Styela clava: one gene and its partner. The protein of the gene in region 1 interacts with the protein of each later gene in a pairwise test. Links are inferred from orthologs where the notes say so. Each region holds a gene or a part of one and is shown on either strand. Other genes may lie near its edges.

The links.
Region 2: the proteins of teneurin-3-like (region 1) and filamin-C-like interact in binary tests that used the Drosophila melanogaster proteins (3 or more experiments, as listed by UniProt). The link is inferred for Styela clava from reciprocal best matches to the Drosophila melanogaster genes Ten-m and cher.

The regions. Positions count from the first base shown.
Region 1 is NC_135263.1:226,480-233,329, reverse strand, and holds the start of teneurin-3-like, read left to right. Parts: upstream 1-3,826; 5' UTR 3,827-3,911; coding exon 3,912-3,973; intron 3,974-4,670; coding exon 4,671-4,888; intron 4,889-6,575; coding exon 6,576-6,620; intron 6,621-6,850. UniProt on the Drosophila melanogaster protein: Involved in neural development, regulating the establishment of proper connectivity within the nervous system. Acts as a homophilic and heterophilic synaptic cell adhesion molecule that drives synapse assembly.
Region 2 is NC_135263.1:16,706,140-16,713,617, reverse strand, and holds the start of filamin-C-like, read left to right. Parts: upstream 1-4,477; 5' UTR 4,478-4,726; coding exon 4,727-5,069; intron 5,070-7,478. UniProt on the Drosophila melanogaster protein: Involved in the germline ring canal formation. May tether actin microfilament within the ovarian ring canal to the cell membrane. Contributes to actin microfilaments organization.

The sequences.
Region 1 (6,850 bases):
GACCCGAAACCGCCTGAAGGCGTTATAAAATACCACGAAATGTTCTTTAATTTTCTTTATTTTATAACAGTGTAGTAAAGGCTAAATTTGTCTCGAAACCTCTAAGTGACTTTAAAACATTTGCTTGAATTATTTATTCGGCCATTTAACGAAAGCCTAAAACAAGGAATGACGCACACTGGTAAAAATCTCAAGTTGATAGAAAGTCACTGTCACTTGCACAATTGGTCGCGTGGTTTTACGTTTACGGCACGAACGGGTATTATCAGCTAATGATGCATGCGAACTACCGCACCAGCAACCATGGTTGGGAATAGGGAAGGATATATGACGTCATTCGACATTTGAATGGCCTGCATTGCAGAGGGCTATTGGGCTGACATATAGATAGCATGTTAGGAATACCGATGGATATATGGTCGCAGAGGCAATTCGAGGGGGCTCTTCAGCATTCATATTCATATTTGGCATTCATATAGACAGCTGATAAGGTATAGATATATGATCCCTATCGGCATGTGAATGGCCTACTACGAGAATGGCCTGTCGTACATATAACAGGTATGGCTTATAGCGTATCTACACTAGTACTAGTTTTAAAACGACAATGTTCTTTCAGTTTCTTTTTTTTATCATTTTGTTTAATAGTTTCAAATGGAAAATCTTAATCAATGTGCACACGGACCGACCTACTTACGTTTCTTATAAGGGCTCGCATTTCCCTTCTACTCCAAAGTCTTCCTTATTTATTCTATATCGTGTTATGTGGTGGCATTTGGACCACAGATTTTCAGAGATTTTTTTAATTACGTTCAACACGCTAACTATTCGTTGTCTGTCAACCAGAGCTTGTTCAAACTGGCAAAAGCATAATTTTCATTTACTTGTGAATTTTTATTAAATTCCTGTATTTTTCAAAGTAAACAATTGACTGCGTTCATATCAGTCCACAAGACGCTAATTTTAGAGTCAATGCCAAACAATTCGAGGTAAATACGTCGACTAAAACATCGTATGGTTCAATACGCTAACTATCTGCAAGCTATGGCTAGAGCAATTTTTATTTACGTGTGAATTTTTCATGAATATCATGTATTATTTGAAGTAAATAAACAGCTATATTTGAAGAAAAGGGGCATGAGCACGCTGATTGAGTTCATGCTAGAAGTAGTAGGAGAGACTAGCTTTAGAGCAATGTCGAAGAGTTTAAAAAAAGAAATTGAAATGACAGGCAGTCGATGGATTTTTTACTTTAGTATCTAATCGTCGCGTCTGGATATTGAAGCCTAAAAAGGAAAGTTTTCAAGGAAAAGTCGGTAAATCAAAGCCGAATCATAAGATATGATAAATATTTTATTTAACCCCTCAAATAGGTCGGCATAAACGACGACTTAGAAAATAGACTGAGCGATGTTGTCGTAGTGGGATCTAATAGACAAATCCAGGGGAGGTCGCTACGCTACCCGCGAGGGGAAATTGTATAGAATTATTTTTAGTAAATTAGGAAGCAGATGTTTGTTTAAAGTTTGTTGGAGGGCACGGGTCGTTGCGCCGGACAATTGACGGGAATTCGTCCGGCGCTCTGCCTCCGACCCCTCTAGTCCATTAAGAAGTTCAGATACCACGTAATAAACTGATCACCCCTAACCGGAGTCGAATTCTTCCAATTTTAAGGTCCGTGATCACTCAACCGTGACGAATTTTTTTTACATAAACTAGACCTCAACTATCTTGTATGGCCCAAATATGACATCTCACCCTTTTACCATTCTCGAGATATAACGTAAAATCACTGGAGCGTGACTGAGGAGCTGAAGAAAAAAAAATTCTTTTAAAATGGATTCGAATAATTTTTCTAAACATGCCCATGTCTTTACTTTCTTAATAAGTTCCTTCAGAGGCCTGCAATGAGCCAAAATCACTAAAGCGTGACTGCGGAGTAGGAAAAAAAAATTTTATTCAAAAAAATGTTAAACTAATTTTTCCAACCATAGTTAACTTATTTTATTTCTCAATAGCTCCATTTTAAGAGCGCAACCTTTTTACGCCACTGGAGGTCGATTGGGAGGGGGAAACACCGATTTTCTAGTAAAGAAAATTTCATTTAATTATACCTTTGAGAATTACGCAAATCTTTGCCCAAAACCCCAAGCTAAACGGCCTCTGAACCCCAAAATCACTCTAGCGTGACTGACTGACAGCTTGATTAGCCAATGACAGGTCCCAGTCCCTTAAAAGCCCGTTTTGGCCCATTTCCTATGGCCTGATCGTTCTGAAAAATTTTCTGTGTTAGTTTGGTAACTGCCCCCCGCTACATGCCAAGTTTCAACTGTTTGACAAACGGTGCTGCAACATCCAGTCCTTTTCAAAAGTAGTAATAATTCACATATTGCGTCTGCTTGTACATGGCCTTGTTTGGAGTGAAAAGCATCGTATGACAATCGATGTCTTGATAGGATGAGTTGATTTTTTTCCATCGTTGTAAACTGTTTGTCTGAGGAAGTCTGACCTTGATCATTTCATAATTTTAAATTCCAGCTCAAACCCGACAAATTCAAATCTGCGTTACATTTTCCTTTTCAAATATAAAAACTTTTAAACAGGTAAATAAATTAACAATTCCGTTCCAAATGCGGATTCTATAACAGTAAATAAATTAACATTTTACGGACGACTTCGAATTGAAACCTCAGGGAATATATCCGACGTGGTTCTCAATACCTATTAGTCATATTTTCAGTATCAATTGTGCGAAACATATTAAAATTGAAACCTATTTTCACTGTTCACGTTTTTAATGTGTTTTTCGGATTTTCTGTGGCTTACTAACTGGTTCGTTTATTACGCCCTGTAGAGTAGACTGTAGAGCAGGGGTCGGCAACCTACGGCCAGCGGGCCAGATCCTGCCCGCGGAGTAATATAATCCGGCCCGTGACGTTTCACTGAATATTAGTAACAAAACAGCTGTTTTGATGAAGCCATTTTATACGTAACAGAATTTATTGTGAGACACGTGTAGACTAAATTATATTATAATCTAACAAGTATATAATTCACAATTACTCGTTTCATGAGCCTAAAATTTAATTATGATTAGACAAATGACAAACAAAAATTGATGCTAAGTGCGAAGGGAGCAATGGCGCCGAAAATATTCAAATGGAACTTTTTGAGATGCAATGAAACGAATTTATATTTTCTCGAGAGATGTATCACTGCTTGATTTTTATTATAAAAAGTATCATCAGTTCGGTTCACAATTTTCTAAAGATATGTGCGGCCCGCCAATGACTTGCAACCTTCAATTTTGGCCCGCAAGCAACAAAAGGTTGCCGACCCCTGCTGTAGAGCATGGGTGGGCAAGGTTTTTGGACAATATTCTGGCAAGCCTATTGCACCATACAGATTTCAATAACAATAATTGGTTAAAAGCGATAATTTATGACAACATCAGGCAGGCCAGATCGAACCACCCAAGGTGCTGGATTTGACCCGCGGGTTGTAGTTTGCCCATGTCAGCTGTGTCAGTAGATGAAGCAGTGAGTCTAATACATACAGTACTTCTAGCCGAAAGTGTTTGTGAATAGGATATGTCAGTTAGTTGTCTTTATACTTTTGCTACACTATCCTCGCATTGTACGGATCCACCAGTGCAAAAGCATAAAAGAAGAATAGTTGAATCACTGATCAGTATATCATAGTTATTTGTCATTGTTCTCGTTAAATCTATGTCTTGCAACCATTTACAAGAACAAATTGCAAAAATAACCCAAACCATCGCTTTATTGCTAATATATGAATGAAATTTTGTTTGCAGAATATTTATTTATAATCTAAGTGGTATTTACGTCCGAATAAATTTTATGGAATCACTGTTGCTACGTAACTAGTGACGTCATCAAATAGAATATATGACGTCACAACTATCTGCTTCGACCATAGCAAGCCTGGAAACACCGGCCGTGAAACCCAGGTAGGTGGTTGATTAGTTTGCTCAAAGATAGATTTGCTAAAAACACTGAATTATTGGAAGGAAAACGACATTCGGTATAAAATTTTCCCGCAGTTCTCAAACTTTCAGAAGACGGATTTTCAAAAGTACAGACGCTCGTAAAATATGTTTTACGAATTCGCACGAACCGAATTATCAAATAATTTTGAAAAATTAACATGCCAATAAAAATTCTGGTATAATACAATTTTATAAATTCGGTATAAATCTGCGGCTAATTATCTAATTCAAGGGACATTTTAGGGTACTCCTGTAGTATGCGAACTAAGATGGCGGGCGCCGGACGTAGTATGTTAGGGTTAGGCCAATAATTTCATTCCAATTATTCTTAATTTGGTTTTATTACGAGTTCGGGACTAGCCAAGTGACTCCTGTAGTATTTGTATCTGAAAATATAGCCTAATCTGGTACATATACTACGTTTCGGTGTCCGCCATCTTGGTTCAATACTACGGGAGTACCCATTTTAGTCTTGATAATAATATTATCCTAAGACAACAGCAACGTTAAACCGGGTAGGTCATATTCCCAGACTTGGTCTGGTCTGAAAACCGAGCGAGAAGACTTCATTTGTCATATAAATAAGCCGTTTTATCGGATTTCTGTTCCTTCTTTATTAATATAGAAACACTTATATTTTATTCTTCCATGCTTACAGAGCCTCAAAACAAGTTCAAAAAGCGAACAAAACCCAAAAACCCAATGGTGAGCCAGAAAGTATTCCTATGCTTCGCATACGCACGGATGGTGTAAGTTACGGAAGCGGAAGTTCAGGGTCAAGTGATCAAAGATTAAAGGTCAACGGGAAGTTTCCTTCAATGGATAGCGGAGTTTCGAACCGATATCGAAGCACTGAATCAGAAGGATCTAGTCCAGGTAACTTTTAGACGTTACTTCATCTATTTGGCTTTGTAGAAATTTCGACAACGATATAATAATAATAATGTATAATTCTTTCAAAAAGGATTACGTCATCGCAAATTTATCTCCTGTGGCGTTTCATTCAAAAGAATATTACTGACGTTATTGGTAAAGACCCAATAAATGTGAAAAATAACTGTAATAAAAGTACCAAGATTGCTGATTATGAAAATTTGGCAATAATTAAGAATCAGTTTTTCGTTCAAATATTTTGTTCACGATTTTATTTTAAAATCGCATATTCAATGTCTACCAACAAGAGCGTAGTTAATGCCGTTTTTTATATATATATATATATCTCACAGTAGAATTTAACTCACACTGCATTAACCGTTTAATTTTATCCGGTTAACGGTTAAAGTGTTTTCCCTGAAATTACCAGCCCTAACCCTAACCTGGTTCACACACTAAGGGAGTACCCTATTATGTTATGGGACAGAATGTTTTGGTCCGCCATATCTTGTCAAACTCTGGTTGTGGTAGTGCGCTCTTTGACATTGAAGCTTTAATCTTGGCCATCCACTTGCTAAGCCGAACACGCAAACCACCATGTAACCGCCGAGTCTTTTAGTGTCTGATTTTTAAAAAGTAGGAGTATTACTAACATCCGAATAATACCATAGTCGTGCTTATGGTTCCCCATATGATTAAACTATTCGACATCATATTAGAATGTGTTCGGTTCATCTTGGGATAATATGACTCCCACATAACGACAGCGTAAGCACGCCTAAAATTATACAAACACGGTCGATGCTATGTAGCGTTAAAAAGTCTTTTTGTCTAAATTTAATATATTTATCTCGTTTGGATCAAACTTTCGAATTTTGGAAAACCGTACGACAGTAGCCATCTCGAAAGCCTGCGTAAAACGCCATTAACATACTCAATGTCATATTGTATCATCATTGTAAGAGTGTCGTTTATCCGATTTCTTCTACTCAACATTCTGAGAAATTGTATTTCTCGCTCGGTTGATCTCATTAATTATGTTTTATTCATTTTATTTGCCGGGATCTTAAATTACACGGATGATTGCCATGTTTTCACGCTCTGTTGATTGCCAATCCATAACTTCCTCGGGAGGCGTTAGCTTGTAATTGTTTCATCACAGGTCTAATGAAAAGATCTGAAGTGACGTAACAATGTGGTTGTTCACGGTCGTCTTCTCAATCTAACAAGATTAGACTTATGAAGAACCGCACATTCTCGTACAAAACCAAAATTTCGAATCAATAAAGATGGATTTTACGGAAATTTTGAAGCCTTTCATGAATAAATTGTCGCGTTAAAATCGTGTTATGTTGCGGTTATAACCGGAAAAATTCTCGTTCTTGGTATTTATTAAAAGCTATTGAAATAAATACCAACATGAAGCTTAGAATTATTCTAAGTGTAATATTTGTTGAATCGGTAGGATCCGTTGACGGATACAGAAGTCTCTTGACAGCAGTAACATATTCTATCAATTGAGTTTCAACTATGGGGCAAACTACTGATCTTTTTTTGCTTTTCCGCTGGTGGGTCGGTATGCGTATGTCAAGGATGTTGCAATATATCTAGCCAATTCCCGACTCATCAACTATAGTTTTGACCTAGTTTTGATTCTTATCTTTATTCATCTTTCACTCCTTTCCTTCAGCTTCTTTTCTTCGTTGTCTCCGTGCTTTGGATGACGTACTTGAAGGTATGACGTCATTAGTGTTACGAAATCATTCTTGATTTTTCGAATATTCTAATAATTTTATTCCTATTTTGATTTGTTTGATGTGTTTGCTCGATTTTCATGCTTGAATAATTTTAATAACTTCACATTGACATTTGCATCAATTTTATGAAATTCTGAGTCAGTATTTGCACGCGCAAAAGTTCGAATTAAAAAATTAATAAAAATAAAATTTGGGCGTCATAAAAATT
Region 2 (7,478 bases), about 16 Mb from region 1:
CTATAGATTGTGGAATATAAAAGCCCGTAGGGATTTCAATTATCAACCGTCACCATCGGGATTTTGACATATTTTTATTTTGGAAGCTTGCATCATTGGAGAAACAGTCAACAGTCGGTAATAGCCTCATTGGTAATAACTGTGTGATAACAAATAGAGCTATGAAGATATCTGGCGAAGATGCACAATATTTCGCTTAGAAAGATTCGAGTCAGAAGTTTTGAAACGGTGCAAGAAAACTTGAAGCTATTCTTCGCCTCGCTCATTCGTTTTTCTTTATATATCGGCAATAAATGTTTGTGCTATTTCCAGTAAGAGGCCCCTAAAAATCGGTCGTTAGGGTAATCTCTTTATGTTTAAAATATTGATCTTCCAAGCGTTCAAGATTCACGTTATTTCAGAGTTCGTTTATTGTGATGTATACAGTTAATTTACAGTTTATACGAGAGTTTACTTTACATTACCATAATAATTAGAATGTGAGAGGCAGTTTTTATGAGCTTAACGCATAATTAAATAGTTGAGCGGAATAAATTTAATTGTTCGGAACTGTTTGATGAAAATACTCAGCTTCCTATTATGGTCGTTGAGTTACAAATTAACAGTGTTTTTTCAATATGAAACCATGGAAAATCAATTTATTAGTGCAGTATGACCCTATAGATAGGGCTATGTATGAATAGGCGAGGCCCATTCTTGCTTCCGTCTTAGATAACATGAAGAACGCTATCGATGTACATCGCGGCCTACTTTGGACGTTTGAAATCTCTGTGAACTAATATGAACTCTTTTCTGTCAATGTTTTTCCTAATTAAATTCTACCCCACAGAGACTTGTGAATTCCGCTTAATTAAATCGCATTTGTTTTACGTTCATTAATCACAATCGGTAGTTGGTATTGCTCGCTGTTGGGGTAATTGTTTAGTAATGCATTTCTGATCACTGTTATCCATCAGCTCGAATTGACAATTAATAGTACAAGTATGTCGTTAATATTCTTTTTTAAATTATTTGTTTTACTGCCAGTAATTTGTGAAAACCAAATAACATAATATTCTGCAGGCAGCCCGATCAGATTTGAATGGAGCTCATTTCTTTAATATGTAATGTTGCAAATTCTTAGCATGACAATTTTTCCAAATAAATATATAATATATATATATACGGTGACCGTACATTTGAACCCACGTACATTTGAACCCATGTGTATATCCGCGGGTTCAATCTATATGCGGATGCGAAAACCCATGGGTTAGTGTTAGTATGGGTTCAAATATTCGTAAAACAAAAACAAAAAATTCCATAGGTGCAATAGTATGCAGGTGCAATTGTCGTGAATTCAAATGTATGTGGGTTCAAATGTAATGGAACCATATATACACTATTCATTCTGAAACCAAAAAAAAAGCTATATACAGACCGAACTAATTTTGAATGATCTCGAATGTTCAATCTATGTTTGCATGAAAAGAGACGGATTTAAATAAAATTTGATAAGTTTTTTCTCCGCCGCACATAGCAAAATTGTCTGCAATGGCAAGCAATTTTTGATGTCCCGTTGTTCATGCTATTTTTTTTTTGTATATTATTCATTTTTATTCATTTTTTGCTCAGTGTATAACATAATTTGTATTTTTACACGTGTACGTCTCGAAATATTAGTTTTGATACGCTACTCATCAGCAGGTATTTTAGTTGACTTGTCTTCGTTATTACACTCGCATCCGGTTTGAAACATTATGAGAAAGATCAGTGTATAAACAAGGTCCTATATCTTGAAACATAATAATACTGAAATTATATTTACTATACGTTCTTTCGCAAAGTTTCTATGGTCTTTAGGGATTTCTCAGCACATGCGCCGCGCTCACGCCTTCGCTAAATGCGTCCGTAGTGGGATATGATGACGCAAATAACATCGCAGAATTAATCCCTGATAAGATTCCGCCGGTAGAATACATTATACTCTGGAATTTAAAACTCTACGATTACAAATTGTACATTCTGAAGGTGCGAAAAAACACCACATCCTATTAAAAGCACCAATGACGTCGTGTAGATTTTACCGGAGAGCGATCCGGCTGGCCCAGCTTTTTTTCTTCGATTGATTATATTGCAATTGAACAGTTTCAGCCATTGTGATTTGTCAGCTAACGCTCTTGAGTGGAAGTGGAAACAATTGTTCAGTGCTAAAACTAGTCCAATGATTATTTTGAAGTGGCGAAAACACTGAGAATTTTGTAATGTACTATAGCGTGATTCTATCTTAAATTCTGTAATTAATTGAATATAAAATCGACGATAATGTTGATCACATTTTCCGATTACTGGATAAAAAAGTGTGCCCATAATGTACATAAAATACTTATTTCCAATTGGCTTATTGATGAATAACGTGATATATGTCGAGTCTATACAATCATTTATTATTGAATTACTTTTGGAATATGATTTCTAAGTCAAAGAAAAGAATTTTATAACTACAAAAGTACATATGTTTAATAGGTTTGGACAAATTTGAATCTGTGGATTCTAAATAGATTTTACAATCACGCTCTGCTTAATTCTCATATTGACGATAGTAGATTGAAGTAATCTTCTTTTAGAAAGATATTTCTTAAACAACATAGAAAGACTACAGATGTTGAAATACTATGGAAAAGCAAAATAGCATCCACTTAACCCATTCACATTTATGATTTCTATTTATAAATGCAGATTCTAATTTGCCCCATTGAATATCAATTTTAATCGACGTATATTAATCGTTTGTCGTGGGTATATTACAAACTTGACTTAATCTACCCTTTACAAATGAGAGAGATTACTTAGTTTAATTTAATTCTCATCATTAAATGAATTTAAATTTTACTTGTTTTAATATTAGGAAATACATTATTTTTCCGATTTTGAAGGATTGGTCTACAAATATGACTTCTAGAAATGTATGATCTGCTTAATGTATGATGTAAGGCTCGTTAATGAATATTAAGTGATTATTTCTTCAAGGCTCAGAAATAAACTGAAAACGATAATCTAATTTGTAGCTGTCTGCCTGAATGAAGGAGTATCTTTTTCTAGAACAGTCTACGCATTATGATCTTATATGGCAATGACCACATCCCAATATTTCTACGTAAGTGAACATGGAGATATCCGCCGATGCAGAACCGCCCGTTTCTGGCATCCCTGGAAGCATGGGCGAGACATAATACCTTTACGGGGAGTATTTATTACTAAGATGCATGATTTGAAATATGTTATTTTGAGGTGTAGCCAACCATGTGCAAGAGCTTTGTGTCGCCTGTGTATAGGTTAGGAACTTGGACTATTGCATTGGCTATGTGCTGTTCAAGTATACTTGAGGAAAGTTCGGTTAATCAAAGTAGATTCAAATAAGTTATAGTTCTGTTGTTCAAATAAATTATCATGATATTGTATTTGATAAAAATCCAACGAATTTTTGTTCAAATATTAAATTCATCTCGACGGGAAAAATGAACATAAAATATGATATTGCCCAGCGGGGGAAGGAACTTGATGCTATACTTTCGATATCGCTATTGATGCTAAACCTTCGATGTTATATCTCGATGAACTTGATGCTATTCGACATCGCTAATATACAAATATCTTCATTTGTTTTTCTCAGGCGGCATATATTCACTAGCTTTCTAATAATATTTTTATGTTTATTGTGTGTGAGCTCTTAATAACTGGTATCGCTTTTAGTCAAAGTCATGTTGACTGTTTCCTATAGGAAAGGTGATAAGAAGTGCGAAAACAAAATGCAATTTCACAATTCCAGTTTTCACGTTCCGTTTAAAATTCGGCAAGCGCACGTGTCCCTAGTCTGGTCACGTTGGTCTGATAGGCTAATTCAAGTTAATCCAAAAAGGGGAGGAGGACAGTAGAACATTTAAAATTTTGTTTTGTGCTTGTTGGCGGTGGAGGGCGTTTACGTTTGTAGACGTCATATCAGATGACGTCATTGTTTTGATAGGCAATTTGCCCATAACTGTTTTATCATCGCATTTCGAATTATTTTGATAAAAATTCTGAAATAGAATTTTATATCTATACACGAAGATGAATTTACGAATACAATTGAGTGGATTACCTAGCTCACTTTTCCCAAATTTACCTAAAATAATAATCATATCCCTCAAAACTTCTAACGACAATCTATTTCATCGATCTTCGTGATTCAAATTTATAATATTGTGATAAAAAGTGCAAAAAAGAAATTTTTATTTACTTTATACCCTGCCGAATATTTCTCGTGTATAGTATACACTGACGGGTGATGAGAAATTGCAAATATATAATTGAAAAGCACTTTCAGATGCTTCGTAACGACCTGAAGGTCATTCCAATTACGTGTGAAGTGGTAGCAAGAAACGTATTCATTTCCGCCCAAGCGACTAAACGCTATATAAAATGCTTCTAAACCCAACATTTTCATATATTATAGGAATGTGTAAGTTAGCTAGATTGTTGTTATAACTGACATATCATCTCAACAACTGGAAAACAGAGACGACAAGCCTCCGATATTTATTTGATCTGAACTAAAGCAAAGAAACGACTTGTTCGCGACTCCACTCGAATTTTAGCGGAATTCACTCAACTCGTGCAAGCACACGCAATCAAACGCTATAAAACCATTGATTGTGCACTGAACCGTAGATTTTTTCGTTTATATATATAGCTAACAAAAGGCGCGATGAATAGCATTGGTGAAGTCAGTTCAGGCGGAGAGTTCTACGACGACGAAGAGATGCCGGCTACCGAAAGGGAACTGGCGGAAGATGCTCCTTGGAAGCAAATCCAGAAGAATACTTTTACCAGGTGGTGTAACGAGCATCTAAAATGTGTTAACAAGCGTTTGGGAAGCTTGGAGACGGATTTATCCGATGGTTTGAGGCTGATTAGCCTCCTGGAAGTACTATCCCAGAAAAGAATGGATAAGTACAACAAGAGGCCTAATTTCAGGCAAATGAAGCTGGAAAACGTTTCCGTGGCGTTGAAATTTTTGGAAAGAGAGAGAATCAAGCTTGTTAGCATTGGTAAGCATTTTTTTAAACAATTTAACGACTCAAAAAGCCGTATTACAGTATTATGAAAATTAGTAGCATTTTTATTACAGTAACATAATACTTCACACCATGTTCTGGCGTGGTGATGTATTTGCGCCTCACCGAGTATTCCCAAAACCTGTATGATTGTGTAACTGGGCTGCCGAGGAGTCTCAAATAATTTTGCGTCCCATGCAATGAAAATATAGCAAACGTAATGCTTCATTGCGTCTGTTAACGCTCACCATAACAGAAACAACAATTAAACCAATTGCACTAAGGCCTTGCGGAAATGATTTGTCACTAGTCTGTTAGGCGAGAAGGCCTTTACACATCTCTGATATAAAATTTACAAAACAACACGTATTTCACTCAGAATGCAAGTCAACACTACTAGGAAACGACTGCCAAGTTTTATGCAAACGATGGAACCACATCAATATTGTCAGCGTAGCGTATGTTTGGCTCAGGTTGGGCGGCATTTAAAAATCACTGGGGCTCTGAATGCGAACATTATTCGTACTTTATTTTGTTAAAAAAATCACGTCAGGTTACAAATTTGGGCGTTGAAGTTCATAGCCGGAGGCGCCGGTCACAATTTATTATTAGCGGCATGCGCACTCGTTCAATCATTCTAGCCATAGAAATACCGATACATTACCGCTAACAGAGGGGAATAAAATGAGACTGGTTTGGCCAATGATACACCTACCGTTCAAAAGTACTGAGCAAATCATTTTTAAGTATGCTTAGATTCTATAAAAACATATCAGTGCAGTATTTAAATGCTGGTAAACAATATGACAACGCTCTGCACGCTCGTTTTTGCGCTTGAAATCCATGTGATATGAAGCCTATCTTATTTTAATACTGGTTCTCGCTGTTGTTGTTGTAATTGAAATTTTCGTATAAGCTCCATTTAATGGCGACAATGCATACAAGATCATTAATTCGTTTGTCGTCTGTTTTCTTCGCTCGAAGACACATTGGCATTGCTCACGTCTTGCGCTGTGCGTAATAAAGTATAATGCATCACCTCAGCCCATTGATCATGTCATAAAATTGTATTTCATTCTGAAACTCTTAAAACGAACTCTTAAACGAACTCAATCGTAAACATCGTGAATAATGTCTGACTAACGGAATTTCATTTATTGCCTATTTACAGCGCTCGATTGGCTACGAAGGTGCGTTCATTTTCGGTCCATGCGTGAGTTTGTGAGAATAAAAACCCAGCCATTCTTTACAACGCAAAGCCAAATTGGATTGATATCCTCAGCTGGTGGTCAATTACGCTTCCAAGAATGTTGATTTGTGATTGTTATTAGATTTGAATCAAGCTGCGCGCACACTGTATAGTTCCCATACATTGTAGATCATTCTTTTAAATTGCCGGCGACAGTAGGATAAAAACTTTGATATGCACGTAAACATACGGATAAGATTTTTGTTTTCGAGCATAAATTCACGCAGACTGGTAATTTGTACATGATTAAGCGTAAAATGATATCTGACATTGAAAACAATTATAATATTTTAATCTAAATGTCATGTTTTACCGTTTAATACTATGTCATTTAGACCGGCTTATATAAACATAAAGCCATAATAAGCCGCTTGGGTTTAAGTATCAAGCTAAGGGCGATTGTGACAACTATCGAGTAGACAATGGCTTGAATATCGATTGTAGTATTGTACAAAATGAGCTAATCTTACTACGGCTTCTCGTTCTGTATATATGTTGACATTCAGTTTTGTTGGATTTTTTAAGTTTTGCTTTCACTTTTCCTTGTCGAGTACTATGGCTTTGCTGATGCAAACTTTACCCTTTTACTCTTGCCTACTGATCCATATAAAAGTATACATGACTTGACACACGAGGAGATGTTTTTAGCTTTTGATCTAAAGTCGAATACTTTTTTATTTACTATTATCGATGCGTACGATGTAAAAGTGTGGTAGAAATAGTCGCAGATTAAATTACCGAAAGATCTTTAATTTGTGGATTGGTTGATTTATTGCATCACTGGTTCTTCAGTGCATGGTCGGGCTTAATGCGTGGTATTCCGATTTGGAAGGCATGCGGAAGTTAACGCTTACGCCCTCGTGAAAACATTGCCATCACATCTTCTTTGGTCAGATATAAGTTGCTATAAATCAAACTTGTGTTATTTCCTTTCCGTTCTTAATCTGGAATAATTCAGTTTTGAACTTTCTACAAAAATAACGTCATATGAAATGACAACAAACGGACAGTAGATACACGTTGCAATGCAGGCATAAGATTACATCATGGCTCGATTTGAACCGAATACTCGCTGTCAAAATGTGCATATTGTTAAAGAATACTTTCCCCTGAATATTGCCGGTGACATTTCATTGTAACCTCATCATGTTTTA